Linked DNA regions of Tamandua tetradactyla. The protein of the gene in region 1 purifies or fractionates together with the protein of each later gene. This does not show direct contact. Links are inferred from orthologs where the notes say so. Each region holds a gene or a part of one and is shown in the gene's direction. Other genes may lie near its edges.

Region 1 (7,408 bases):
CAAAGGATCCTGGTCTGATGCCACTTCCTTCACAATGTCCTCGTTGGTCTCTCCAAAAATCTCTGGCTAGTGAGAGGAAAATGTGTGTTTATATATATTTTTTTGTTTTTATATATTTTTATTTATATATTTTTTGGTATGCTGTAGGGTAGAGGTCACATTTCATTCTTTTTCCATGTGACTATCTCATTATTACATTAGCATTTATTGAATTTTTTGTGCGTGGGGGTAGGTGCATGAACCAGGAATTGAACCCGGGTCTCCCGCATGGCAAGCAAGAATTCTACCACTTAACTACCCTTGGACCCCCAGTTTATACTTCTTTAAGGTACTTAAATCATGCCCTATATTGGAATAACTTTGAGTACTTTTTTTACCTCTGAGCAAATTAGAAGCTTGTTGTTAGTGGCAGGGGCCTTGTGGACATCATCGTGTGTGTTCACTGTGACTCCTCAGCCCTGGGCCTTGCACACAGTGATATCAGGAGACAACCAGGTGCATCACATATGCTCTCAGCTCCTCCTCCCAATAACCATGGGAGTAGGGCAGATAGGCTAAGGCATTTCTTCGCAACAAGACAATGCCCTCCAAGTGGTCAATGTTCTTTATGGATTGAGTGGATGGAAATCCCTTTTATAAACTGCATGATGCCTCAAAACCCTAACTGCTACATGAAAAGCTATCAGGTAAAGAAAGCTTCCACAAAACGCAAAAGAAAATCCAATTGCATGCATTTGATGCTATTTTAATTGGGGCATTAGGACATGGCTTAAAATAATTCAGGGTCAGCTAAGAAGCTCGACTGTGAAAAGGAGATTTCTGTTGTTTGGAAGGCTATTTAGTGTGAATGTTAAACTCAGCAAGACCAAAAGTGAGAAAGCAGATCTCAGAGCTGTGAGCAGTGAGTTTTATCCTATTGGTTGGACAGCCACAAAATTCTCAAAACTGTTTTGTTTTTAATAGCATGCAGGTTAGATGAGGCAGGTTAGATAATATCCAGTGAGCTCTAAGAAGCAGTCTGAATCGGTGGGCCTCTGTTTCTTTATCTACAAATGTGAAGGCAAGGAATGGGAGCAAACTAGGGAAAATCAGCCCAAACATTCCTCAGGTTTAAAGAGGATAAAAGGAAACAAAGGTTCCTGCTTAATATCTTTAGAATTGATACATGATCCAAGTATATCAAAGAAAATTAAAATCATCTCTAATTCTACCTCTCACAGATAACCACTGTTACAACTTTGGCATGTACTCTTCCAAACACAGAATCTTGCATAAATAGTTAAATAGGTAGACCCACTCTAAATTTCCTCCAACAAAAACGGAACTGTAAATACATATTATTTGCAACCTACTCTTAAGTCAGTCTCCCATAGTAAACAACCTGAGTTGTTTACAGTTTTTCATGATTGTAAATAATCCTATGATAAGCTTCCTTATATTCCAGTCTCTACTTCCTCAGGATAAATTCCTATACATACGAATACTGGACTTGTAATTCTTATTAGAACTTTTTTTCAAATTGGAAAAATAGTTCCCATGAGTTAGTATGAATATCTTTCCCAGAAAAGCAACCAAAACAGTCATGGGCAACAACAAAAACCCCAGCAATCCAATTTAGACTCATTTTGCCAAGACATCATGTCCCAAATGTTCTTCCTACTTAAAGCTACCCCTTAACTATCATGATTGATTGTTGTATTGCGCAGTGTCGATGGCTTCAGCAGCATCATACAGACCTTCCCATTGCGTGCTCCACTGTAGACCTGCCATGGGAGTTGGGGGAGGAATGACTGTATTCTCCTGGTCTCTGGGGGCAGGCGGGGGGGGGGGGAACCTTTTTATTGGGCTCCATCAATCAGCATAATTCCCTCACCTTTCCCAGTGGGTGATTTCTGGCTAGGCTGCTAATAGGGGTTGGTCTAATCATAATGAAGTCCAACATCTTTGTCTTATGGTTGGTAGAGGAGGCGTTCATTCTCCTGGTCTGAAAGAGGTAGCATACAGCTCCAGTTGCGGTCTTCTGTGACCACATGGGGAGCCAGCCTCATGATGATATAAACCCTGTAGAAGGCAGACAAGGTAGCTGGGTTCCTGATGAGACTGAATGCTGGATCTAGTTTGGCCTGAATTCTGCCCTCCTGCTGGACTTTTAATTTACATTAACCACAACTTTCTTGTTATTGCCTGTTCAACTTTGAGTCACGTTTTTTTGTTGCCGAATGGATGCAACTGTGGTAGAGCAGAGAGGTTCCAACACCACCCATTTACATCCTTTTCTCTTTCCTGCAAATTCACATTCAATTTGCTTGTTTTGTGTTTCAACCATTTTATGACTTCAAAACAGGCCTCAAAATAATAGCTCTTCATATGGCCTGTATAGGTACATCCCACAATTCCATCTTCCATTTTGTACACAGAAGAGGGAATCTCAAACCTTTTCTCAGGTCCTGACCTTTCACTTTCAAACCTGATTTTTCAGTTGCCTGCTGGCCATGATGGATTGATTTTTATGCCACACTCCCACCTTAACATAGACTTCACCCCCCAGAAATCTCTGTTGGTAGCTCTCTGGCCTTTCCAAATCTGGCTCCTCACTGTTATAATAGTACAATCTAGACCAAAGAGTATGGCGATTGAAAATCAATCTAGCTAGTCAAAGAGGTATTTCAAAAAAGTTAGTTCTTTCTTGCATTTTAAAAAGAAACACTTAGGGAGAGAATATACAGAGCGCAGAAATGCTTAAAATCTGCCTATTTTCCATTTACTTCACTTTTCCCCACTTTTCCCACATAAATATCTCCTGCCTTGTTTCCTTAAATAGCGTATGATCCATGAACTACTTTCTCCCCGTTTCTTCTTGATTTTCTGTTACAAAAGCACAAATGAGCAGGTTTGGCAAAGCAGTTCTTACACAAAAGATGGAGAAGGTAAAGAAAGGAGCTGGTAAAGCAAAGAACCTTCTTCATCAGGTAGTAAGGAAAAGCTAAAAACACATGCGTGTTAATAGTTTTTTTTCCTTTCCCTATTTAGGATCATTTCCAGTAACAACAATCCCTGCTCCCTACTCCCCACCAACACACACGAGGATATAAAACTATTTGCTGTTATTTCACCACATATGGAACTCCAAAGCTATCCTGTTTCCTGAACTTTAATACCTTCTTTCTAGAAAATTCATTCTAATCTCTTCTAAAATTTCTTAGTGTACAACTAGTTAACACTGTCCTGTCCTTCAATCCTTTTTATAATGTGCTGTATGAGGGTTCTTATTCAGTGTAAGTTCCAGGTAAACATCAAGAGTTAAGAACAGCACTTGGCACAAAAACAGCTTCTTGAATATTTGTCTCTGAATGAATTAATCTATATCTGTCACCTACTTCCCAGGGGCTAGATCAGAGAGAGTACAAGATGACAGAGCTTGAAAACTGAAGGTCCTGCCACCTTTTTTCCATTGAACAAGTAAAAAGTGAAACCTGGAGGCCTTTCTACCATAGTCATAGGATGTCATGGTGACATCCTGTAAGCCCGAGTCACGGCTCAGGAAACTGTTGAATGGATTGACACATTTAAATATGTCATTTATAAAGGGCAGTCAGAAGGGTCAGCATTTACATGTTCTCTGCCAGACTGGCCTATGAGCATTTTGAACAGAGCCTTTTGAACAGTCATGTCCAATACGTCTCTGTAGCCCCAGATTCTTGAACATAGGAAATGCTCAAATAGCTACAGGCTAAGTCTTGGATGAGCCCACACTCCGCATTCTCATATGATGGGGCTAGTACTACCAATATGTAGTGAGGTTTATGTAGGATAAGGACTCAAGGCATTATATCCCCATCTGAAGGAGGGTTTAGAGTCCCCGCCTTGGCTTCAAGTTGTAATCACCTACGGAGTTATAGTAAAGTCAGTAAGCCATCCTTACTACCTGATGGCTGCCACACGGTACTGATTTTCCTTGAATTCGTGTGGAGCGCTGCATGGGCAGGATTTTAAAACCTCTCCAGATGATCCCACGTTGTAACTGAAGACCACTTGTTTAGAGGCTGTCAAAGGCGGCTGACCAGGTCCCGGAATTCACATGCCTTTTTCTCTCCCTATCATCTCTGAGGCCTCAGCCTTAACCTCTGGACTGTCCCTTCGCTGGCAGAAGCAAATTTCCGGGAAAACGGGAGAGGCAGGCGGGCAGGCGGCCATAAGGACGAGCCCCATGCGTCCCGCTCGCCGCCTCCTGGCCCAGCGCTCCCGAATGCCCCGCGCTCGCCGCCCCCAGCCCACCGACCCCGAACCCCCGATCCCGCCTGCCCCCACCCAGCCGCGCGCCAGCTCCGTTTTCTAGCGCGGAAGTCCCGGCGCCGGAAGTGCCGAAGCGCGCACCCGGACGGCCCGGAGGCTCCTGCGCGCGGCCGACGGAGGGAGGGAGGGAGGCTGCTGGGGCGGTCTGTACCGCCTGGATCGCCTGGGCCGCCGAGGGGACCCTCGCAGGTACCGCCCTGTCGGAGATCGCGGGGTCGGAGGCGGCGCCGTGTCCGGCCGGGACAGGGCGGCGGGGGCTCCCTGGGCCGGCGGAGGGGATGCTACCGGCCTCCAACTAGGGTGTCTTTGCAGGGCGGCCCCCATGTTGCGTTTTCCGACCTGTTTCCCATCCTTCCGGGTGGTGGGCGAGAAGCAGCTGCCGCAGGAGATCATTTTCCTAGTCTGGTCTCCCAAGCGGGATCTCATTGCTCTGGCCAATACGACGGGCGAGGTAAGTGAACCGGCGTGGAGCCCGTCTGGGGCAGGGCTGACCCCCTGTTGGTGCGGGTCACCCACTGCCCGAGCCTCAGTTTCCTTTTCTGTGGACAGGGCAGGGTACCTGACTTCCCCGCCTCTCACTCCCATGACCGCAGCTATTAGAGAGAGTGCAAAGGGCCATATGCGCGAAAATTAATAATATTTGTGGGTCCATTTTCACATAGCTTAACACAATTCTGCATCCCCAAATGGTCTTCATTCACTGAGCGAGAATAGTGGAAGATGCACAGACTCTACCCTAAGTTTGCTTACAGTTTAGTAGCAAAAGAAAAATGAGTTATTACTGTGAGTTCGCTGAAAATCAACATACACGTAACTGTCAGATACTACAGGTTTAAGGATTTTCATTCTGCTGTCCAAGTTTTAAACTGTGGTTTCATTGCTAAATACATTTAAATTGAACAAGGGAGACATGCTTCGCAGGATTTCTACCAGAACGTGCAGTGACTTACTGATAAGCATTTCTAGTTCATATTACATTACCCTACATGTATAAACAGAATGTATACAACTTTTTGCCGAGATTTCATATTGACCGCAGAGCCATTCTGTAAAGAAACCTTCACTGGTGCATCTTCCCTCCTTTGGCCTCCTGACAGTTTTCCTGATAGTTGTCAGACCTTGAGCGGTGTGTGCGCCCGAGTTTCAAAGATAGATGTTAAGGTAAGGTTAGCAGTATACAGAACTCTTTCACCTTGTTGCCTGCCATAACCCCGCTACCAGGGTACTGATAATTGTACCAGAAGATGAAATATGTCCTTAGATTTCTTGCCCCTCCGTGAAATCTTCTAGTCTTTTTTCTGCCAGGGTGCTTTGTAACTTTGTGACGGTTCTAGATGGGAGTAGATAAGCTACAGATAGTTCAGCCTCAGCAATAGGGAGGAAAGTAGAGAATAGGGGCATCAGTGCAATCAGATGAGTAGGCACTTGTTTTCATTTTCCTGTTGAGGGAATAATCTAAGAAAGCTGATGAAGAAAAAAAAAATACTGGAAGCTTGAGTGAAAGGAGAGGTATGAAAAAGCTGACAAGGCAAGTGGGCTGATCCATGAGTTTAGTGGTCTTGTAATTTTTTTTTTTTTTTAATTTTTTTATTAATCAAAAAAAAGAAAAGAAATTAACACAACATTTAGAAATCATTCCATTCTACACATGCACTCAGTAATTCTTAGTATCATCACATAGATGTATGATCATCATTTCTTAGTACATTTGCATCGATTTAGGAAAAACTAGCAAAACAGCAGAAAAAGATATAGAATGTTAATATAGAGAAGAGAATTAAAATAATAATACTAATATATATATATATAAAAAGGAAAAAGAAAAAAACAAAAACAAAAGATACAAACACACAAACAAACAAACAAAAAACCATATTTCAGGTGCAGCTTCATTCAGTGTTCCAACCTAGTTACATTACACTTAGGTATTATTGTGCTGTCCATTTTTGAGTTTTTGTATCTAGTCCTGTTACACAGTCTGTATCCCTTCAGCTCCAATTACCCATTATCTTACCCTGTTTCTAACTCCTGCTGGTCTCTGTTACCAATGATATAGTCCAAGCTGATTCTCAAATGTCGGTTCACATCAGTGGGACCATACAGTATTTGTCCTTTAGTTTTTGGCTAGACTCACTCAGCATAATGTTCTCTAGGTCCATCTATGTTATTACATGCTTCATAAGTTTAGTCTGTCTTAAAGCTGCATAATATTCCATCGTAGGTATACGCCACAGTTTGTTTAGCCACTCGTCTGTTGATGGGCATTTTGGCTGTTTCCATCTCTTTGAAGTTGTAGATAATGCTGCTATAAACACTGGTGTGCAAATGTCCGTCTGTGTCTTTGCCCTTAAGTCCTTTGAGTAGATACCTAGCAGTGGTATTGCTGGGTCGTAATCCATTCTGCCATTCTATGTCTTTTGATTGGGAAATTCAGTCCATTAACTTTTAGTGTTATTACTGTTTGGGTAATATTTTCCTCTACCATTTTGGCTTTTGTATTATATATATCATATCTGATTTTCCTTCTTTCTACACTTTACTCCATACCTCTCTCTTCTGTCTTTTCGTATCTGACTCTAGTGCTCCCTTTAGTATTTCTTGCAGAGCTGGTCTCTTGGTCACAAATTCTCTCAGTGACTTTTTGTCTATAAATGTTTTAATTTCTCCTTCATTTTTGAAGGACAATTTTGCTGGATATAGGAGTCTTGGTTGGCAGTTTTTCTCTTTTAGTGATTTAAATATATCATCCCACTGTCTTCTAGCTTCCATGGTTTCTGCTGAGAAATCTACACATAGTCTTATTGGGTTTCCCTTGTATGTGACAGATTGTTTTTCTCTTGCTGCTTTCAAGATCCTCTCTTTCTCTTTGACCTCTGACATTCTAACTAGTAAATGTCTTGGAGAACGCCTATTTGGGTCTATTCTCTTTGGGGTGCGCTGCACTTCTTGGATCTGTATATTTAGGTCTTTCATAAGAGTTGGGAAATTTTCAGTGATAATTTCTTCCATTAGTTTTTCTCCTCCTTTTCCCTTCTCTTCTCCTTCTGGGACACCCACAACACGTATATTTGTGCGCTTCATATTGTCATTCAGTTCCCTGATTCCCTGCTCAAGT
Region 2 (7,148 bases), on another chromosome or scaffold:
CTCCAGTTGGAGTGAGTTGATGACAAGTGTGCAGGCCCCACTTTGTTGGAGAAGAGTGATAAATCTGTGCTGTTTGAGCATGGTATTAATCACCTGTGGGAAGGGAGTCTTGCCACTACGAATTCCTTGATTAGTATATGGACTACTTTTTTTTTCCCCATTTCTGCCAGGACACCAAACCAACTCACCATGTTTTCCACATACCTTTTTGGCCGTCCTTCTCAGTCTTGTTTATTCCTGCCTCTAATTTCCTCAAATTCTGAATATTGGAAGAAACTATTTTCCATCAACACTTACTCCTCCCTTGGTGATCTCATCCAGTTTCCTGACTTTAAATACTGTCTCTGTATTGATGACTCCCAAATTAATATATCCAACCTCAATCTCTCCCCTAACCTGCAGATTCATGTATCTTCTTGCCCCCTCTACAGTTCTACTCCAATGGGCATCTCAAATTCAGCATGCCCCAAACTGAGCTCCAGATATTCCCCCCAAACCGGCACCTCCCGTCTTTCCCATCTCAAAAATGGACAACTCCATTATTCTAGTTGTTCAGGCCAAAAATCTTTGCTGCTTTCTTTCTCTGATATTATACATCTAATCTGTCAGCAAATCCTGTTGCCTCTACTTTAGAAATAGATTCTGAATTCAATTCATATCTCATCTGTCACCTCTAGATTATTACAATAGGCTCCCAACTTGTCTTTCTGCTTCTGCTCTTATCACCCTGAAGTATATTCGTAATAGAAAAGTTAAAGTGACCCCATTAAAATGTAAATCAGATTACATGGATCCTCTGCTTATAACCCTTCACTAGTTCTCCAATGCAGAGTAAAAGGCAAAGTTCTTTATTTTGACCTATAAGATTGCATTTATCTGACCTCTGCTACCTCTCTGCCCTCATCTCCTTTAATTTTCTTCAAAGGACACTATGCTTCAGTCACTCGAGGCCCTTTACCCTCTCCATTCTATCTCTAAAATGCTTTTCAACAAATATCTGCATGGCTCTATTCCTCTTCCTTCAGACCTTTAATCAAAAGTCACCTTCTGGGGTGGGCCATGGTGGCTCAGTAGGCAAGAATGCTTGCCTGCCATGCCAGAGGACCCAGGTTCGATTCCTGGTGCCTGCCCATGTGAAAAAAAAAAAGTCACCTTCTGTTGGTTTTCTAAAGCTGCGAGAATGCAATATACCAGAATTGGAACGACTTTTAAAAAAGGAATTTATTATGTTACAAATTTACATATTTAAGGCCATTAAAATGTCCAAACTAAGGCATCCAGGAAAAGATACCTTGACTCAGAAAGGCAGACAGGTCTGGAACACCTCTGCCAGCTGGGAAGGCACATGACTCGCATCTGCTGGGGTCTTTGCTTCCGGTTTTAAATGGCTTCCTTGGGGGCATTTTCTTCTTTCATCTCCAAATGTCTTTGCCTGTGTCAGTTCTGAAGCTTTTTCCAAAATGGTTCCCTCTTTTTTTTTTAAAAAATATTTTTATTGACAAATCTGCACACACGTACAATCCATATATCGTGTACAATCAATAGCTCACAATATCATCACATAGTTGAGTATTCATCCCATGATCATTTTTTAGAACATTTGCATCACTCCAGAAAAATAAAAAAAAGAAAAAACTCATACCTACCATACCTCTTACCCCTCCCTCTCATTGACCACTAGTATTTCCATCTACTCTATTTTATCCCTTATCCCCACTATTATTTATTTTTTATCCATATTTTTTTACTCTTGTGTCCATACCCTGGATAAGAGGGGCATTAGACACAAAGTTTTCAAAATCACACAGTCACATTGTAAAAGCTATATAGTTATACAATCATCTTCAAGAATCAAGACTACTGTAACACAGTTCAACAGTTTCAGGTACCTCCCCCCAACCACTCCAATACACCATAAACTAAAAAGGGATATCCATCTAAGGCATAGAATAACCTCCAGGATAACCTCTTGACTCTATTTGAAATCTCTCAGCCACTGAAACTTTATTTTCTTTCATCTCTTTCAAAATGGTTGCCTCTTAAATGACCCACCTTGAACGGATAGAGATTTATCTCTATATTAAGAGATTTATCACTTAATCAAAACTTCCCACCCACAAGTGAAGAGTCACATCTCCAAGGAAACAACTTCATCAAAAGATTCCACCCAGCAATATGGAATGAGGATTAAAGAGCATGGCTTTTTTGGGGTTCACACCACTTTCAGACCAGCACACCTTCCCAGTGAGGCTTTTCTTGGCCTTCCTACCTAAAATAAAACACCCCCTTTCAACCTTGTATTCCCACATGCCTGATTTATTTTTCCTCAGTTATTTATCACATTTTTTAAACCATGCATTTTACTTATGCTTTTAATTATTTATCTCTTTTATTAGAGAAGAAGCTCCATGAGAATAAGACTTTTTAAATGTTTTGTTCATTACTGTATATTCACCACTTAGAATAGTGACCAAAATACAGTAGGACCCACAATAGATATTTGTTGAGTGAATGAATGAATAGGATGGAGGTTTCCAAGAGGCAAATTATTACTTGCTAATAGAAAACTTTATAACAGCCAGAGATGCTTGGCAACATAATCACAGTGGATATGCACAGAACACTTACAGCTTAAGCATCTGTTATAGACCCTCACATCAGCCAGGATGGGAGGAAGTCTGGGCAGAGATTATGACGTTATTTGAAGAAGAAACTGAGTCTAGATAGGGAAAAAGGACTTGACAAAGATCACACATCTGGTCAGGGTAGGATTAGAATTGTGGACGTCTGCTGGCCCTGGAAGAGGCTGGTGGGTGATGGAGTTCAAAGGGGGTTGGATTGTAAGGACCTCTGATAGGAGGTTGAGTCAGAGGCAACTAGGATACAGGTATCAGCAAAGGAGTGGGGGAGATGACGAGGCTAACGACTGTTACTGAACTCACCAGTAACAGAACGCTATGCCTGAGACTGTCTAGTCACTCAATTCTGAATAGCTTCTTCAACGTCACAATCCTAGGAAACCAGTGAAACCACTGCGGGTCTGGATGGTCTGGCCTTCCCACTGGACTGTTGATTTTTGGGGAGCAGGGGCCACATTCATAATTTTATCCCCAGCTTCTAGCAGAGCCTGGAATACAGAAGGGGCTCAGATATTTTTGTTGGAGACATAAATAAATGAATTAATATGCCCAAACGGGAATCTGAGGCTCAGAGTGAAGTGGAGGGGTCAAAAGCCTCCCAGCGATTCTGGATTCAGTCCGGAAACAGACAAATTTTCCTGGGGCGCAGAAGGAGAAAAGCCCCTGCAGTAACGCAGGCGCCTAGAACATACTTTACAGCAGCGGTTGGTGAGGAAAATAGCAGCCTGCTTGCGGAGGGGCGGGGATAAGTGGAGCCATAGGGGCGGGGCCAGGCTGAAGAGGTCGATTGGCTGAGGCTCAAAGAAGGGTTCCTAGAGTGGGCGCGGCAAATTCTCTTCTCCAACAACGTGAACAAAGGTGTGTCTAACGTTACATCCGTTCGGGTGCGGTGGGAGCGGGAAACAAAAGGAGGCCAAACACGCATGCGCTTGGTAGGTCCCGGATTCTGGTGGGTCCTTCCGCTCAGGCAGGTGGAAGCGCTTCCGGGTCGTGACCCGCTCCCGCCTCAGGTGCGGTAAGTACCGTAGCAGAGCTACAGCTGCTGTCTTCTTGCCTCTTCCATCCTCCTTTCCCCAAAGAAACCTAGTTTCCTTGACCCGGCTGCTGAGGAGCACTATTTCAAACGCTCCTAAAGAGATATCATTTACTGGCCGTTTCCTTGAGACTAAGCTCCACCCCATCGCACAAGATCCGTCAGTCATTGGTGTCACTTCCTGTCACCCGGCATTTCTTCTAGTCAATTGGCCCAACCTAGGCCCCGCTCCTTTTGCGATTAGCAACCCTATAAGGCGAAATTCCTGTTCAAGTCCCCACCTCTGTTTCTTCCTGTTGGTCAACCCCATAGTCATTATCATAACGAGCAAACTCTGTAAGAATGGGCCGTGGATTTGCGGCGTTGGGCTGGGCTTTTGGATCTACGTTCTCTGGCCTCTCAGTGTTTCCGAGAGGTGACATTGGGTCCAGGTCTGCTTGTTGCCTAGGCTGGGAGGCAGAGGTCTAGAGAAGGACAATGACTAGCTCCGGATCGGTCAAATAAGTCAGAACAAAAGTAGTACTAGACATAAGTAATCCTCTTCTGCTCATCGCTTCTAGTGACCGTCCTAGAGTACGTCTCTACGAGAGTTCGAGTCTGAGCCCCAACTAATCTAGAGCCAATCGCTGCCTGTCGCTGTCTCAGAAAAGTGAACTGAGAGGTTTTAATTCAGAATCTCTTGGACTTTCCTGGTTGGCTCCTTCAGTCGTTCACTCAGAGATGAATTTACTTGTTCTCTTACTGGTTCATACATTCAACGTTCCATCAATTTATTTATTCATTTACCAACTAATTTACTCGGGCCTTCAAGAATTTCTTACTGAGCCCCTGTCTGCACAAGGTAACACCCCACCTCCCCACCCATCCCCAATTTGGTTGTGGTCCATGAGTAAGATGGTTTAGTGTCCTAATTTTCTAACTTTGGGTAGGTGTTGTACTGCCGGTAATAAGAAATAAGCAGAAAGAAGGTTTTGGTGTTTGGAGGAGGTAAAGATGTTTCAGTAGAGACCCCTGCTACCTCTCATTTTGTACAATTTTGTAATTATAATCTACGTCCTTGAGTCCTCTCTACTCTTGGTTTTCACTCTCTTCTCTCGTGGAGCAGCTTATAAACGTCTTTTTTTAATCCATTATTTCAATTAATTATCAGAATAACTTTAAGGGTGGTGAAATTGTTATCCCCATTTTATCGCAGAAACTGAGGCTCAGAGAGGGTAAGTGACTTGGCTAGGGTCAAACAGCCAGTACGTGGTGGAACCACACTTGAAACCAGGTCTTTCTGATTCCCAGAGAGAAGTGCTGCTTCCCTACTACCTTCTACTCCACCCCGTTCCTAGATCAAATTACAACCAAAAAACCCCAAACCAAAACAAATATAATACCCATATCTGAGAGCTGGATTCACCTGATCCTTTCCCTCAGTCTAGGAGCCATGTCAACTCTGTTCCCCTCACTCTTCCCCCGTGTGACTGAAACATTGTGGTTTAATCTGGATCGACCCTGTGTGGAGGAGACAGAGCTGCAACAGCAGGAACAGCAACATCAGGCCTGGGTGAGTAGAGATCTAGCCTGGTAGGGGCACAGTGGTGAAATTCTCAGTCAAGGACCCCCCTCACCCACTGGACCAGGAACCAGCCTTGTTCTGGAAGCCTATCCTGGGGGACCTTTTTGCCCTGAACTAGGAATAATCTGGAGCTGGGGCTCAGAGGGCCTAGATTCTCATCTTTGTTCTGCCTTAAATTGTTAGATGACCATGAAACCTCTAGGCCAGACTGGAGCCAAGGCTTCTGACACTCACCCCAGGCTCTTTTTTCCTAAAGCATAGGAAATGATAATTTTGACTATTTACTGAGAGTCTAACAAATGCTATATTCTAAGCTGATGTTCTCTCACTTCACCCTCACCATAAATTCTATAAGGAAACCAAAGCCCAGAGAGTTTAAATAGTTGGGTCAATTCAAAAGTAAGTGGTAGATGATGGGAGAGAAAGTGATTGGATCTTCTTGACAACTGGGAGGAACCTTCTCCCCACTGCCCTCACTTTGGAATCTTTTGGGAGGAGGTGGGCCAGTCCCATGTCTAACCTGCCCTTCTTGGACCCTGGCCTTGTTTCCCTACCCTTTTGGCCATAGCTCCAGAGCATTGCAGAAAAGGACAACAACCTGGTACCTATTGGCAAGCCAGCCTCTGAGGTGAGTGGTTCTAGCAAGTGGGGCCAAGTGGTGGCCAAAGTCTGCTCTAGTTCCAAGGGTCCTGCCTCTAGCACCAGAGCAGTCATGGTCTTCAGCTCTAGTTGGGTGGTGGGCAGATGTTGGGGCCATTGGAGAGGTGGCCTCTTGGCCTCAGCACTAAAGTCCTGTAGAACATGCACTAGGCTTCTGGACTGAGGAGGACGGGGTTGGAGAGGTGGGGGTCAGTTATTGGGCCCCAAGAGAACTCCAAGAAGGCTAGCCCCTGAAATAGTCCAGGCAGGCCTGTAGGACCCAATAGGCATTCCCCTACCCCACCAGCACTATGATGATGAGGAGGAAGAAGATGATGAAGATGATGAGGATAGCGAAGAAGACTCAGAGGATGATGAGGACATGCAGGACATGGATGAAATGAATGACTACAATGAGTCACCTGATGATGGAGAGGTCAATGAGGTAGGTAAGGGTTTGGGGATAGGGTCTGTGCTCCTGGTTCCCTGCCTCTGACCTAACTGGTGGCCAGGGGATACCAAAATCCCGGATCTAGTCAGGGACAGAGTGGATGAGGTTCTGGGGGCTTGCTGGAAGACTGAGGTTCCTTCCCACCCACACCTAGCTTTCTCCCCAGGTGGACATGGAAGGCAATGAACAGGATCAAGACCAGTGGATGATCTAGATGGAAGGGCAGGGGTGGCCTCAGGGAGAACTGTGGCCAACCAAACCCACTGCGCATCACCTGCAGAACCAGCTGATGGCCCCAGTTCCTGAAAGCTCAACTTCAGGTATCTCCTCACCTGCTGCCAACAACTGGTCTCCTTTTCCCTCCCAGGTCATCAGTCTGCCACTGAATACCTAGGGTCAGAGCTAGTACTTCACCCCATGGTTGCCAGGTCTGATCTCTTTCTAACTCTCTTTAATAAAGACACAGGACTAATTATTTTCCCCCCATCTCTATTCCCTATTTGTTTATGGGTCCCAGAAGAGTCCAGTATCTTCTCCTGAACTTTGGGGAGAGGGGACTGAGGGACTCTAGGTAAGACTTAATTAGCCAGGTGGGCTGGGGAGGGCAGGCCCCTTTGCCATTTCCCCTGGCCCAGCTTACACTAGCCATTCCTGGAGGGCTTCTATCTCAGGATCTGCTCTCTTCTCTGATCCTACCCAGGATTACATGGGCTGGGCAGGGGAGGCCCCTGGAGCGCTCTCAGCTTTTTCTCATAGTGTTAGGAGAGAGGACTAAAACTCAAGGAATGGGGGTCAACCACTCCCCTGGAGTCACCCAATGAA
Region 3 (8,016 bases), on another chromosome or scaffold:
TTCTGATTAGTAAGTGTCTTGGAGTATGTCTATTTGGATCTATTCTCTTTGGGTATACTGCACTTCTTGGATCTGTAATTTTAAGTCTTTCATAAGAGTTGGGAAATTTTCAGTGATAATTTCCTCCATTAGTTTTTCTCCTCCTTTTCCTTTCTCTTCTCCTTCTGGGACACCCAAAACATGTATATTCATGTGCTTCATATTGTCATTCAGTTCTCTGAGACCCTGCTCATATTTTTCTATTTTTTTCCCTATAGTTTCTGTTTCTTGTCGGATTTCAGATGTTCTGTCCTCCAGTTCACTCATCCTATGTTCTACCTCTTGAAACCTACCATTGTAGGTTTCCTTTTTTTTTTTCATCTCTTCTACTGTGCCTTTCATTCCCATAAGTTCTGTGATTTGTTTTTTTCAGACTTTCGATTTCTTCTTTTTGTTCATTCCTTGCCTTCTTTATATCCTCCCTCAATTCATTGATTTGGTTTTTGATGAAGTTTTCCATGTCTGTTCGTATATTCTGAATTAATTGTTTCAGCTCCTGTATCTCATTTGAGTTTTTAGTTTGTTCCTTTGACTGGGCCATATCTTCAATTTTCCTGGTGTGATTTGTTATTTTTTGCTGGCATCTTGGCATTTGATTACCTTAACTAGTTTATTCTGGAGATTGCTTTCACTTCTTTTACCTAGGGTTTTCTTGCTGGAGAATTTGTTGTCTATCTGTTCTTTGACATTCAGTTCAGCTTTTTCTGGACCTCTAGCTTAGGTTATGTTTAACAGAGGAGACTTTTTTGGTTCTTGTTTTCTTCTTTCTCACCCTGCTTGTATGGTGCTTCCCTGCCACCCTTAGAAGGGTCTACTTGGGTATTATAGACCCCAGCTGGGTTTTCCTGGACCCAACTGGCCTCCTATCAGGGGGAAGAAATCACCTGTGTCAGTTTTCCCTGGGGGTGAGACCCAGCAGGTTGAAAGACTTTCCTGTGAAGTCTCTGGACTCTGTTTTTCTTATCTTGCCCAGTGTGTGGGGCTTGTCTGCCTTCAGGTCCCACCAGCATAAGATGATGTGGTACCTTTAACTTTGGCAGACTCTCCCTGCTGGGGATGTGGTGGAGACAGAGGACAGGTTGTAGGCTGGTTTTAATTTAATACCAAGCTCTGGTGTCTGAATTCCTTGAGGGAAGGATTCCACCTGAATTGGGCTTCACCCCTCCCCTGGGGAAGGCACAGGCTCGAGACAAGCCCTGAAACAAGCTTGTTTCTGCCTATGCCTGAGGCAGTTGCAGCCTGAGAAGTACCCTGCTACTGAATCCAGAGGCAGTCTAGCCTTTGTAGAAACACAGCCACAAAAACCTCTGCTTCTTTTCTTTTTTTCTTTTTCCATTAGCCCAATGAGCAACCTCCGCTTTGACCAGATTCACCTGAGCTGGGGGCCTATTTTTAGTAGTCAGAATTTGTTAACTAATTCCACAATTGGCGTTTGCTTGGGCTCAGCCCCTGCTGCTGGTAAACTCCTTTCCTTTCCCCTCTGGGAAGCGGCCTGTGGGGGAGGGGCGCCGGCCGCTGTAGCTTTGGGAATTCACGGTTCTGGGGGGTGCTCGCAGCTGGTCCAGCTGGTCCAGACTGGGGTATGCCGTGTGTCCGGTCACTGACGTGACCCAGGAGCTGTTCTGAACTGTTTGTGATTATTCAGTAGTTGTTCTGGAGGACGAACTAAAACGTGCACATTGCTAAGCTGCCATCTTGGCCCCTCCTGAAGTGATTCTCTTGACCAGCTCCATTGCAGCAAGCGAGTTAAAGTGTTTTTGATGAACTGTTAATGTAAATACAGTCTAGCCTATATGGTTTCATATACTATTATTGCAATTGTAAGGAACAGTTTCGAATGCAGCCTTCTAAACCAGGAATCTTCAAGCCAAGGGAAAAACCTGTTTATAAAAGTATGGAGATCAGGGTTTCTTGACTACTGACTGAAGATTTGCATTTCAATAGGCACATGGATGAGAGAAGATTAGGTTATCTGAGAGACTATCAATATTATTAAAACCAAAAAATGGATTATAAAGGTTTTGTGGAGGGCAGATTCCTTCTCTCAAGGCCTACATTGATAGCAATGTCACTCAGCATAAATACAAAAGATGCAAAAGGCACTGCCTGTAATTTTGGTAAATTTTGTAGCTGTGCTTCAAATGTCTGAGAATCATTTAAAGCAAAATCTATGAAGTCACTATTTTAAAAGCCTGTAGGTAATCCAACCAGCACAAGGACCTTTTCTTTTGATTACTTAGTTTAGAGGAAAACTGTCATTAGTTGTTTCCCGTAATGTGATACCATCAGCTTGATTTTACATTATCTAAATACCTTACCAGTATAACTGTCATATTTATAAGATAATGGAAATCAGTGTTATACTTTAAACATTATTTGACTGTTATTAACTTGTTTTTTTTTTCAAAAATAGTTGCTAGACTAATTCTGCAAGTGAAATCATTGCCCTCCCCCCTCCATCGGACATGACATCCAAGAGTGAAAGTCTCCCTGCCGGCATGGGAGATGAGTTCCAGGGATGAATCCATACCTGGCACTGTGGGATCAACAATGCCATCCTGACCAAAAGGGGGAAAAGAAATGTAACAAATAAGGTATCAGTGGCTGAGAGAGTTCAAGTAGAGTCAAGAGGCTACTCTGGAAGTTGCTCTTACACAAGCTTCAGGTAGACCTTGCTACCTATCATAACCTGCCAAACCCCAACCAGGACCATTCCAGCCAATCCTAAAGAACACCTAGGGCAATATATAAGATTCCATAAGGGTTCCATGCACTAGAGCAACTTTCCAGAAACCTACAACCTCCAGGTGGGTCCCTGGTCCAGATAAGTCCTGAAATCTAGCCATTCTCTCCAGAACATCAGATAGTTCCATCTCCCTACCCCATATTACTGACAGACCTTTCAATATAAAAAATTTAGAATTGCCATAGCCCAAACAACCCTAAAGATAGGGATGGAAAGATCAAGGATAATAGTGGAGTTATACAGAGAAGATAGGATTTAACAAATGAATATGAATGCTGAATCATTAACTTGATATCTCTTCTATCAATTAGAGCAGCTAGAAGTAAAAACCTAAAATTGTGGAATTGTAACTCGTGTCAAACTCTGAAATATGTTCTACAACTAGCTGTGCTTTGAAATTTATAGCTTTTTTGTATATATGTTATTGTTCACAAAAAAAGGAAAAAAGTCAATTGTGATAAAAAAAATATTTAAGCCCTCTAGCCTCCTATATTCTGGAGCAGCTAGAAGAAAAAATATGAGAGAATCATATGGTAGCCCATGATAAACTCCGGGATCTGTCTTATAACTACTCGTTGAAGAGTACTTTGAAAACTATTGCTTTTTCATTTCTTTGCTTTGTATATATGTTATACTATACAATAAAAAAAGTTAAAAAAATAGTTACTAGATATAATGAGCCTAAAGGTGTAATTTCTTTAGGCAAAATAGGAATTGAATCCATACCAAGAATAAACAGATAAGCAAATAAGTAAATAAATGAAGAAGGAAGATCTCTTGCTTATTGTAATAGAAGGCCAAGAGCTGAAGGGATTGCTGGAATTGGAAAGTCATTGTTTTGCAACCATCCTGATAAAGACAGTTTCAGATAAAATCATCAATGGACTCTGTGAGGTGCGATAAAGTGAAGCACAATAAAGTAAGTATGCCTGTATATATATGCAAAAAAAAATCATCAATGGATGTGAAATCTAGAGGGAGTTTTGAGGAAGAGCAGAATATTTGCATGGTCTTAGAGAGTGTCTCCCCCAAGACACTTTACTAGTTGCAAAGAAGAAAAAACAAAGCAGTAATTTTACAGTGGAGAAACCAGGTAACGTTTTTAACACGTGAACAAAATATCACCTATGAGGGACTGACGAACATTGTATTTCTATAGACTTGATACTCTGAGGATACATCACTTATGCAGTATTACAGCCAACAATGCATATTACCAATTAAAATCACAAGGAACCAGCAGACAAACAAAAAAGTGAGAAAGTTCTATTAAAAAAAGCGAAAGGACACTTTTTTGTATGCTTCAAAAATGTCAATGTGATAAGACAGAAAAGCTGTGGAAACTGTTCAGATTATAGGAGGCTAAAAAGACATGAAAATTAAGCATTTGATCATAGACTGGATCCTGTACAGGCAAAATGCTATGAAGGACATTACTAGGTCAATCAACAAAACTAGGATAAAAATTGGATTAAAGAAAGTATTGTAATAATGTCAATTTCTTAAGAAATGCACCCTGCAAAGATGGTTGAATCTGAGTAAAGACTATACAGGTGTTCGCTGCAATATTTTCATATTTGCGACTTATTCTAAGTTTGATATAATTTCCACATAAAAAACTAAAAGAAGAGATTGGCTTTGAGAAACAATTTGATTGAACTAATCGGGCAGGTTCCGAAGCTGCCACAATCCTTGAGACAATGTTATGGAAACATCATGGATCCGAAAGCCTAACCCAATCCCAGCGCCCAGCATTTGTGATCCTTGGAAAGCCACCTAAGCCTCTCCGAGCTTCAGCTGCTCCACCCCGGAGAGCTCTTGGAATGATCAAAGGAAAGAATGAATAACAAAGCCTTTCATGAATTATGATATTGACGCTACACGCCAGTGTGGAAGAGGAAAGGGGTATCAATAAGGAGGACGGAAGCCATAACTGCTCGTCACACCTCTAAAACCGCGTCCGCCGCACTGCCGCTTTCCGCGGGCCACCTCCACGGCGCGCGCACCTACGCCTCTCCAGGTGCAGAGGCTGCCCAGAGCGCGCCCAGAGCGCGCAGCGCGGAGCCCGGCCGCGCGAGGCCCCGCCCACTCCCCTCACCCCCGCCCCCGCGCCGGGGCCGCGCCCTCGCCCTGGCCCCGCCCTGGCCCCGCCCCCTGTCCAAGGGCTTCGCGGGATCGCCCTGGAAACGCATTCTGGGAGGAACTGGCAGCCGCCAATGGGAAGGGAGCGAGTGCCACGAACCAGCCAATAAGGAGGGAGCAGTGCGGGGTTTAAATCCGAGGCGGGGCCCCGCTGCTCCCGGCGTGCTGCGGAGGAACGGCTGTTGCTCTGTGGTGGCACTTGGTCCCCAGGTGGTCCGGGGCTCCCGGGTTCTGCTTCTCCCTCTGAACTGCTCCCTGGTGAAGAAGAAGCCATGGCACTCCGAGTCACCAGGGTGAGTTGCTGCGAGCCGTGAGCAAGCGTGGCCTTCCCCCCGTGCGCCCTCTCGTCCTCCGTCGCCTGCCGGAACTCCCCGACTGGGCAAGGGCCGGGCAGCGATTTGGGGAGGAGGACGGAAGGTCTCGGAGAGAGTGCCCAGGGCGCCTGGTGTGCTGGGGGAGGTGGGGAGCAGTCAGGACGGAGAGAAGGCGAAGAAAGACCTGGAAGGGCCTTGAGAAGTACTGGGGTGGGGGGGGGGGGCTGTAGCGTTGACGGGAAGCCTTTTTTAAAAGGTGGTGGAGGGCCGCCGAGTAAGCTCCCAAGCTCCCTTCCTGGAGAAAAGGTGCCTGCAATCGGAGCTTTTGTTTAGGTTTTCTTTCAAATGTAGATTCACGCTAATTTGAGAGTTGGCCCCAACTCCCCGAAAATCCCTCAGTCGGTGAGTGAAGTTCCGGGAGGGAAGTAACGTGTCACGGCCTTAGAGAAGACCCCGAGACCCAGTTTTCCCCTCCCCGCAATTTCACTCGGATTTCCGCCTCTCTTGTGCCGCACCTTAATTAACCCTCGACTCACCCCGGCCGGGCTTGAGCAGCTCTGAACTGATCTTGCTTCTTGCAGAACACGAAAATTAATACTGAGAATAAGACGAAGATCAGTATGGCGGGCGCAAAGCGAGTACCTTTGGCCTCTGCTGCAGCTTCCAAGACAGGGCTGAGGCCAAGAACAGCTCTTGGAGACATTGGTAACAAAGTCAGTGAACAGCCACAGGCCAAAATGGCCTTGAAAAAGGTAACTTAGCTTCCTGGCCTAATTTCTCCGTATAAACCCACCTCGCAACTGTGGCTCTTGATGGTGGAATATTCCATTCCTTTCCTTTCATCTACAGGAAGCAAAAGCTTCAGCTATTGGGAAAGTTATGGCTAAAAAACTACCCAGACCTCTGGAAAAAGCAGCTTTGCCTGTGCCGGAGCCAGAGCCAGAACACGAACCAGAACCGGAACCCATTAAAGAAGAAAAATTTTTGCCTGAGCCTATTTTGGTAAACGCATTGTTACCTACTTTAGTGTCCTTTCCCCTCATTTGACTAATGCATGGGATAACATTTGAATACTAATAGAACATTTTAGTTCATACCCTGAGACAGGCTCTATTAAGTACTTTTCATGCATTAACTTGCCTAATCTTCGCATATACTCTCTCAGGTAGCTGTTATTACTTCTACTTTTTAGATAATGACTTAGAAAGGTTATAAGTATCTTTTCCAGAGTCATAAAGCTAATAAGTAGCACGTTCAGGACTCAAACCTAAGCTGTCTGGCTTTAGAACTAGTGCTTCTAAGTGCTCTCCAATACTGCCCACCTTTGTTAATGGTATTAAGTAGTAGCTGCCTGGAGCAAAGATTTTGCTGACCAAGTTCAAACCATTCATGTCTCAAATTTCTTGACTGAAATACAGAATAGTCTCTTAAATCTTTTTTTGGTCACCTAGTTTCCTTAGGTATCCTGTGTTAGTGTAACATTAATTAGATCACTTCATGATAATACCAGAATTAAATAGGTTTGTATCTTCTGTTCAGGTGTGCCTCTGAAAAGTTGTTTAGGGTTGACTTTTCCAGCAATTCTATGTAAATCCTATAATAAGAGAACTTGCTAAGAAAAAGAATTTTAACTCAGATTTTTTACCCAAGAAAAATGACAGGCTTGGTAATTCCCTTGAGAAGAATGTACTGCTCCAGTTTTAGGAGCCTTAAAGGTGGGAATTTTCTTTTTTAATGTGTTCATTGGATAATTAGCCTGTAACATTGGAATGTATGAAGGTATGAGGTAGAAAGATAATGTAGCTAGCTCTTCAGAAGGAGGCAAGAAGATGAATTAACAAGCTAGGCTTAAAAACCAGGACTTTTTATTAAATATCAGATACATAAATATATCTACTCCTCTGAAAGGAGGACAAGCCATCCAGAAAATGGGGCATTCTACAGATATTGTAATGAAATGTATTCCAAGGCTCTAATTTTTAAAACTTAGGTTGGGAAAATAATCTATTATCATCTAGTTATTCAGCCTAGATGTTGATATCTAAGGGTAAGAGATTTGAAGCCTCTCTGCTTTAGTATTGATCTTCGGAACATAGCATATCAAACATGTAGCTGACAGTCATTAATATGGACATACCAAACTACCTAAGGTTTCCTTGAAAGCACTGTACTGATTCCTGCCTTTACTTTCTTACTAAGAATGCTTTCTCCCACCTTCTCTCATCTACTTGGTAACCTTTTCATCCCTCAAAACAAAACTCAAGCATTAACCTGTAGAGCTATCTCTAATTTCACCTACTGCTACCCATGTTTCTAGAATCAATCTCTCATTGATTTATTCTTCTAAATTCTAAGCTTAAGGATTTCAAGAATTCAGTGCCTTAGAAGACAACTTGCAAAACATGCTCAAATATTTGAATAATGTCGGGAAGAGAGCATAAAGGAAATGATTAATCACCGTGAGAAGAAGCCCATATTTTGAAGGGGAAAAAAGTATACATCTAAAGACTGGCTTCTCATTAGTTCAGGTCTAAGACTGCCTTGTCAGTCACTTAGATTCTTCACAGATGGCACTAATAAACAGATACTACTTTTCTTTAAAGGAAGGTCTAGAATATGAAAGTATTTGCTCCTGCTACATTTTACCTTTTAGCACTGAGGTTCTGCTGACTTCAAATTGGCTCAGTTTAAGCTGGCATTTCACTTTTGATATTAATTACTTATTAAAGAGAAATTGAATAAATCTGAAAAGACAATAGTTTTTCCTTAAGGAAG
Region 4 (6,836 bases), on another chromosome or scaffold:
GACATCATAACCTTAACATCACCTTAAGAGAGTGTCTTCTTCAATAATATCTGGAAAACATTCATCATTATGTTTTATGTTGTTAGCAAGTAGCACCCTCTTCACAGTTTATCAAGAAAAATCAGTAGTGGAGTAAGAATTGACCTAAAACTCAGATTATCAGCTAAACTACATAAATACAACTTAATAAAATATGATGTTAATGCTATCTGAGACATTTTATTAAAAATTAGCTACAAAGACCAACCAAAATTTGGAACTAGAACCCTGTGATTAAAGAAAAAAAATTGATTAAGTATTTAGGAAAGGCACCTTTCTCTTCTTTCAGCAGGGCCTTCTCCAAAAAGTGTGATGGGTTCCCCCAAGGCTCTAAGACAAGCCTTGACTTCTGAGTCATCTGTAGAAACATTGATTTGCCGGGCTCGCTTCCTTCTCTCAAACTCAGCCAGTACTTCTGCCTGTCGCTCACTGATGTGCTCTTCAATTTCAAATACTTCTCCTATAAAAAGAACGCGTAACATCAGCATAATGGCCAGATCTTTTTTCAAAGAGAGGGAAAGAAATGATTTCTAATAACTGGAGTCCCTATATGCCCCTAGGGGAAGGTAATAATCGAATCTATTTTGTACTTTATAGACATAGTTTATTCCTTTTCAATTTATTAAATTATGCCCAGCACATAAACATAATGAGACGGTTTTAAAAGGCAGGAAAATGGTTCAAGCCACCCCTTATTTCATCTGGCAACCTCAATCTCATACCTAACATAAACACTTACCTTGGATGAGATCAGAAAGTGAGAGTATAGACACTTCTAGCAAGTGAGTTAATTAACTAGGCTTTCTATCCAGAAGACAAAAATAGAAATGCTATTAACAATCACCAAAGCTATTATCTAAAACAGCACCAGTATAAACACACTTACAAATGTTACTAGTCAAGTGAAAACGATATTTTTGTGACTTTAAGGCTTTTTGGATAACTGAGCAACTAGTTTTAAAAACCACACCAAATATGAGCATTTGGATACAAAAATGAGAGGTACAATGATGAGGCAGTTAAGTTTAAAAACAGTAGTAAAGGTTAAAGTTGCTACACTAAAGGGCATGTGTGTAAAAAAACATGTCTGGGAGGATCAACGAAGTTCTTTCACATGTACCCTAGAACAGTCAATGTTTAATCCTAATCCCATTCTGTAAAGGCAGTCGTTTCTTCTAATCCCTATTCAGTACTGTATGTTTGAAACTTAAATTAGATTTTTCCCATGGAGTTGTGACTCGATCAAGAGTGGTTGTTAAACTAGATTAGGTGGAGATGTGTCACCACCATTCCATGTGGGTCTTGATTAGTTTATTAGAATCCTATAAAAGAGGAAACATTTTGGAGAAAAGGGGAGATTCAGAGCGAGCACAGAACAACGCCCGAGTCACGAGGAAGCCACAACAGAGAATGCCACAGAACCACAAAGCAGAGAGCCCTCCAGCCAGTGACTTTTGGAGATGAAGGAAAACACCTCTGGGGAGTTGGAGAGGCGACTAGCAGATGCTGCCGTGTTTGCCAGGTGCCCTCCCAGCTGAGAGAGGAACCCTGACCGTGTTCGCCATGCGCCTTTTCACATGAGAGAGAAACCCTGAACTTCATCGGCCTTCTTGAATCAAGGTATCTTTCCCTGGATGCCTTTGACTGGACATTTCTAGGGACTTGCTTTAATTGGGACATTTTCTCGACCTTAGAACTATAAACTAGCAACTTATTAAATTTTCCTTTTAAAAAGCCATACTGTTTCTGGTATACTGCATTCTCGCAGCTAGCAAACTAGAACACCTTCTGTACTGTTTGAATTTCTTATGACTAATGTATAGTTTTATATTAAAAATATAGTGGATTTCTACTTACCTACATGGATAGACATGTAGACTGAAAAGCACAGGTTACAAAACATTTTGCATATCATGGTTTCATTATGAAAAATAAATATGTTTTTATAACTACTAAAATTCTCAGAAACCAATTAATAAAGATTATAAAATTTTCTACACTAATTTTTTTTTTTTTAACATGGGCAGGCACTGGGAATCGAACCCGGGTCCTCTGGCATGGCAGGCAAGCATTCTTGCCTGCTGGGCCACCGTGGCCCACCCTATACTAATTTTTTTAAAAGAAAAAAATAACTTTTATAATTAAGATATTTCATGAATACACAAATCTGTGATGATATTGCGAGCCACTGAGATTGTATACCATGTATGGACTGTATGTGTATGAAGATTTCTCAATAAAAATATTTAAAAAAAAGAAGATATTTCATTTTGGATGAAAATTTAAAAAGGGGGAACATATGAGCCACAGTTGCTCTAAATTGATACCTGAACTATGCTAAATCTCCAGAAAGCAAAGGGAATCAATTTGAATCCAAATACACAATGAATAAATTCATGATAGAACTACTAATAATTCATGGAAGAAAAATGGCATGAAAGGCTGTAAGAAAAATGCCCCCTGGATGATGGTAAAAGGGGCAGGCAAAGTATGGCCCTAGACATGCAAGTTTAAGAGCTGAAATTTTTTGATACTGTAAAACTAGTGATCTAGGTCTAGAAGGTAAAATTTGTAGGTCTAAGCTATTTCAGAAAAGGTGAGCATCAAAGATAAAGATGAACTCACAGTTTGCATCTTACCAGAGGTTATGTTAATATTTCCTGCTTCTATTCCTGCTTTAAGTCCTTCTTTTCCCAAAATTCCAGACTCTCCTTTGGCCAGACGCTCTCTCTCCTTCTCTTCCAAACTTCCATAATAGATGTGAGGTTTCTTTACAACAGGGGCAACTAAGTCATCAGATGCCTTTGATGTTTTGGTTGCCTGCTAAATCAAAGAACTGGATTAATTTAAGGCTTAATATTAGCAACCTATTAGGATTCCCAGGATCTTATTCTGAACGTCAGTCTTATTTCCTCTCCAAATAAAGGGACAAGTTGGACACCAATTAAGATATTCCTCCCCAATTTGGGGGCATATTTCGGTCCCTCAAACACTGAAGTTTTGCAGACAGGAAGAGGTGGATAAAGTTAGTGAATTCCTCTTGGAGATTTTTCTATTAGCAGTTTGCAGTGGAACCTGTTCTTTCGGCTGCAAGTGCAATCTCTTCTTAGGTTTTAGAATCCGTCCTTGATTATTGCTCATCACGGGGAAATGGCAAGAATACTGAAATCCCAACCATGGCATAAGGGACACAAAGTTACAATGTTCCTGGTGTTTATACCTCAAACGTTTTCGGACATGAGGCAATAGATTTGGAGTCAGAAAGCCTCATTTCAAGTAACAGGTCTACACAGACGTAAATCTTCCTGTTTCAGGTCTCTGTTTTTGGACCAGTGTTGGAAGAAGTGTTTACCGTTCGGGGATGTACAGAGAGAGGTGCAAAAGAGCTAAGGCATAAAGAGTACGTGCTTAGGGACCAGTCAAACTCTGCGATGCTCCCGCAGCCTGCCTTCCTCAACCCTCTACCACCGTGGCCCGTTCCCTAACGGTCCATCCCGCAGAGACCACACCCCTCTCACGCTTCCTCCCGGGGAGCTGAGATCCCAAGTTCTGTACCGTGGAGGAGGCTCGAGAGGAAGCCATGCTGGATTCGGAAGCCGCGAAGTTCCAGCGAAAACCAAGATCGGCGTTTCAGCCAGTCCACCGCGCGCATAGCAAAGCGGAACTGCGTCCCGGGCAGGAACTGAGCGCACGACCGACGCTGCGCCCCGGATCGGCGCGCGGCATGATGGGAGTCGTAGTAGGACAGATTCAGGTCACGTTGAGGGGCGTGACCCGTAGAACCTCCGAGAAAAAAACGCGGGAGTCGAGGATCTGCGGGAGAGAGGCTCAGAGGACTCTGGGAAGTGTAGTCCTCTTGGCTTGGCGGTCGATTCCGGTGGGCGCAGAGGTTCCCGGAACTGTCACGAGCTGATCCAACTTGCAAAGAGGTAGGTGCGTCGAGTGGCGCAGCTCCGGGCTGAACTCTGGAGCGAAACGAGGGCTTCCAGGGCCCGCAGTGCCTCCCGGGCGTAGGGGAGACTTTACTGGTCCTGGAGGGGAGGACCACGTTGTCATGGAAACCTTAGCTCCGGACCCCTGGCTTTGGGGAAGGAGGGCTGTTCTCGTCGATCCAGAAGCTCTCTCAGGGGCTCCCTCCGGACTGGGTAAATTTGTAGCGGATTTGGGCAGCAGCGGGAGATTGAGCTCGAGGAACCCTCCAGTCCCACAATAAAATATGGACCCGGCCGTGGAAACACGGCCTGATATTGTTGATTTTCAAACGGTCTTTGTATCAGATTAAGAGTGAGATGATGGTTATGAAGGCGTCAGGTAATCTGTACACAAGAAACTCTAAGCACGGCCCTGTGCCCAGCTGGAGTATCAGAGATGAATAACACAAAGTTTTTGCTCCCAGTTGGGGTATGACGAGCATTCTCAAAATATCGGTGTTGCTCGAGTCGGACTGAGGCGCTCGCCTCCCCACTAAGAAAAATATTACAATAATAACAACAGCTTATTTATTGAGCATTTAATAAATGCCAAATTATGTGCCAGGAGCTTAATCTGCATTAAGTCATTCAATTCTTACAACAGAGTACAGATACAGATGAGGAAACTAAAGCCTAGTAGGAGATGAGGCAGAGACCAGTGGGATTTAGAACCTCTGTCTTTTTCGCCTCCAGTCAGCGCTTTTACCTACGTACAATATTACTCTCTACTGCCCCCTAGTGGCGATCTTTTCAGTTTGGCGAAAAGTCAAACTACATAGCAGTTTTTTCTATTTTAAGTATTCACGCCTTTATGTTGTCTTTGGAAGTTTGGCTTCTTCTGCCACTTGCTTACATTGGAATCTGGTAGAAAATAGTATCTTATTTAGTAGAAAGAAACTTGAAATGTAATGAACCAGCGTTTTGTACTGACCGTAACTTTTACCTGTATCTGCCCCACTCTTGGTGGGAGGAGTGAACATTTCATCCTTCGTGTATGTCATAAGTCCCTAGTTACATCCGAGATACATGTAATAATGATTTATATTTGTACTTTAAAATGCCTTTCGCTTACATCATTCTCATTTAGTCCTCACGCTGTGATGTACATATGGTTATTATAGGAGGCTGACGTTGTTAGCTAAGTTGAACAGCTTGCTTTGACTTCTTATATTCAAAATAGGGATAATTTTTCCAGCTTCATGGAGTTTCAGTGGAGATTAAAATAAGAATGTAAAGAATGATCGTGGGAAAACTTAGCATGGTGTGTAAGAGAAGTTCATTTCCTTTCTCTCTTTATTTGGATCTCTGATTTTATTCAACAGACTTTTACTGACTGTGTTATTGAGTGCATCCATTAGATACTCTCTGCTGGATACTGTGGATAGTAGAAAGATCATCAGAAGTTAAACTCAGTTGGGGAAGTTTGGTATCCTTCTCAAAAAATGTTTGTTACTTTGTTAACACAGCATTACTTGGGTTCTCAGACTATAGATGCTCTCTTGAAACTCTTTGCATACTTGTTCTCTCTGCCTGGACTGTCCTTAATCCCCTTTCTCTGTCTGCACTTTAGAAATCAGTTAAGACATTGTCTCCTCCAGTAAGCCTTCCCGAACATCCCTGTCTACTCTACGCTCAGCCCAGCCTGGATCAGTTGCCTCTGTGATGCCATTTCATTACTCTCATCAGAGTCCTTATTTTATGATATGATTATTTCCCATTATGATTCCCATTATGATATGATTATTTCTCATTGGTTTTCCTCACAAACTATGTGTTTGCTGAATGAATGACTTACCCATTTAGACCCTGAGGATAACCCTGTCAATTGGTGAGTTAGAGGAACTTTTCATGAGATTTAGCAAACTGATTTTAGCATTCAGGACTGATCACAAATCTCCCAATAATTCTCATGTAGAGTGGATTAAATTTAATGGCTGTTCCACTTTCCCTGTAACTATATTGAATTAAGATGTGACATTTCAACTTCATTCGTATATTTCTTTGAATGTGATTGGAGTCTGAGATTAAAGTAATCATTGCCTAGAATTCTCTCTTATAGGCCTGCTATTTTAAGTTCTTGAAGAGTTTTTAGAAATTACAGAGTTGTGGTTTTCATCATGTAATAAAAATGTAAGCCATACATTTAAAAACTGAGAGGTCTGTGTGAATCCAAATGAGTCTTTTTCACCACATTCACTTTAGGGTTTGTGCTTACAAATTGACCTATGTGTGTGGCTGAGACTTATCCTCTCCAGATTTCCTCTTGTCTATTATTTTTAACAGCTAATAATTCACTGGTTTGGCCCTTAGTGTTGATTTCAGTATGCTGCGACGAAAACCAACCCGCCTAGAGCTGAAACTTGATGACATTGAAGAATTTGAGAGCATTCGAAAGGACTTAGAGGTAAGAGTACAACCTTCGACTCCTTAGGAATATTTAAAAAGATAACTAACTTCAGAACCTCAGACTTAATACCAGTAGCTTATTTGAAATCTCTCTGTGGATGCTTTCTAGGCATTTCAAACTTGATATATTAGTTCCCTAGGACTGCCATAACAATTACCACAAACTTGGTGGTTTAAACAACAGAAATTTGTTTTCTCACAGTTTGGTGGCCAGAAATCTGAGATTAATATCACTGGGCCAAAAACAGACTGTTGGCAGGGCCATACTTCAGAGGATATAGGGAAGAAGCTGTTGCGTTCTAATTCTAGCTTTTGTTGCTCTGGCATTCCTTGACTAGTGGCTACATCACTTCAATCTCTGCTTCCATGGTCACATTTCCTCTTCCTCTTCTGTGTGTGAAATCTCCCCCGCCTCCCTTT

Evidence for each region.
Region 2: the proteins of ANAPC4 (region 1) and ANAPC15 purify together in Homo sapiens (affinity purification with mass spectrometry; 10 studies listed by BioGRID and IntAct, with this or other methods). This does not show direct contact. The link is inferred for Tamandua tetradactyla from reciprocal best matches to the Homo sapiens genes ANAPC4 and ANAPC15.
Region 3: the proteins of ANAPC4 (region 1) and CCNB1 purify together in Homo sapiens (affinity purification with western blotting; 3 studies listed by BioGRID). This does not show direct contact. The link is inferred for Tamandua tetradactyla from reciprocal best matches to the Homo sapiens genes ANAPC4 and CCNB1.
Region 4: the proteins of ANAPC4 (region 1) and CDC26 purify together in Homo sapiens (affinity purification with mass spectrometry; 11 studies listed by BioGRID and IntAct, with this or other methods). This does not show direct contact. The link is inferred for Tamandua tetradactyla from reciprocal best matches to the Homo sapiens genes ANAPC4 and CDC26.

The regions. Positions count from the first base shown.
Region 1 is NC_135345.1:25,466,400-25,473,807, forward strand, and holds the start of ANAPC4 (anaphase-promoting complex subunit 4), read left to right. Parts: upstream 1-4,387; 5' UTR 4,388-4,482; intron 4,483-4,605; 5' UTR 4,606-4,615; coding exon 4,616-4,744; intron 4,745-7,408. UniProt on the Homo sapiens protein: Component of the anaphase promoting complex/cyclosome (APC/C), a cell cycle-regulated E3 ubiquitin ligase that controls progression through mitosis and the G1 phase of the cell cycle.
Region 2 is NC_135334.1:74,141,777-74,148,924, forward strand, and holds ANAPC15 (anaphase-promoting complex subunit 15), read left to right. Parts: upstream 1-4,139; 5' UTR 4,140-4,392; coding exon 4,393-4,513; exon of another isoform or gene 4,514-5,094; coding exon of another isoform or gene 5,095-5,099; coding exon 5,100-5,224; exon of another isoform or gene 5,225-5,694; intron 5,695-5,804; coding exon 5,805-5,864; intron 5,865-6,182; coding exon 6,183-6,320; intron 6,321-6,492; coding exon 6,493-6,540; 3' UTR 6,541-6,806; downstream 6,807-7,148. UniProt on the Homo sapiens protein: Component of the anaphase promoting complex/cyclosome (APC/C), a cell cycle-regulated E3 ubiquitin ligase that controls progression through mitosis and the G1 phase of the cell cycle.
Region 3 is NC_135335.1:117,327,530-117,335,545, forward strand, and holds the start of CCNB1 (G2/mitotic-specific cyclin-B1), read left to right. Parts: upstream 1-5,001; 5' UTR 5,002-5,199; coding exon 5,200-5,220; intron 5,221-5,822; coding exon 5,823-5,993; intron 5,994-6,090; coding exon 6,091-6,243; intron 6,244-8,016. UniProt on the Homo sapiens protein: Essential for the control of the cell cycle at the G2/M (mitosis) transition.
Region 4 is NC_135328.1:33,882,924-33,889,759, forward strand, and holds the start of CDC26 (anaphase-promoting complex subunit CDC26), read left to right. Parts: upstream 1-3,819; 5' UTR 3,820-3,968; intron 3,969-3,982; exon of another isoform or gene 3,983-4,184; intron 4,185-6,320; 5' UTR 6,321-6,333; coding exon 6,334-6,414; intron 6,415-6,836. Other genes in the region: PRPF4 (U4/U6 small nuclear ribonucleoprotein Prp4), read right to left, coding at 313-499, 2,679-2,862, 3,595-3,621. UniProt on the Homo sapiens protein: Component of the anaphase promoting complex/cyclosome (APC/C), a cell cycle-regulated E3 ubiquitin ligase that controls progression through mitosis and the G1 phase of the cell cycle.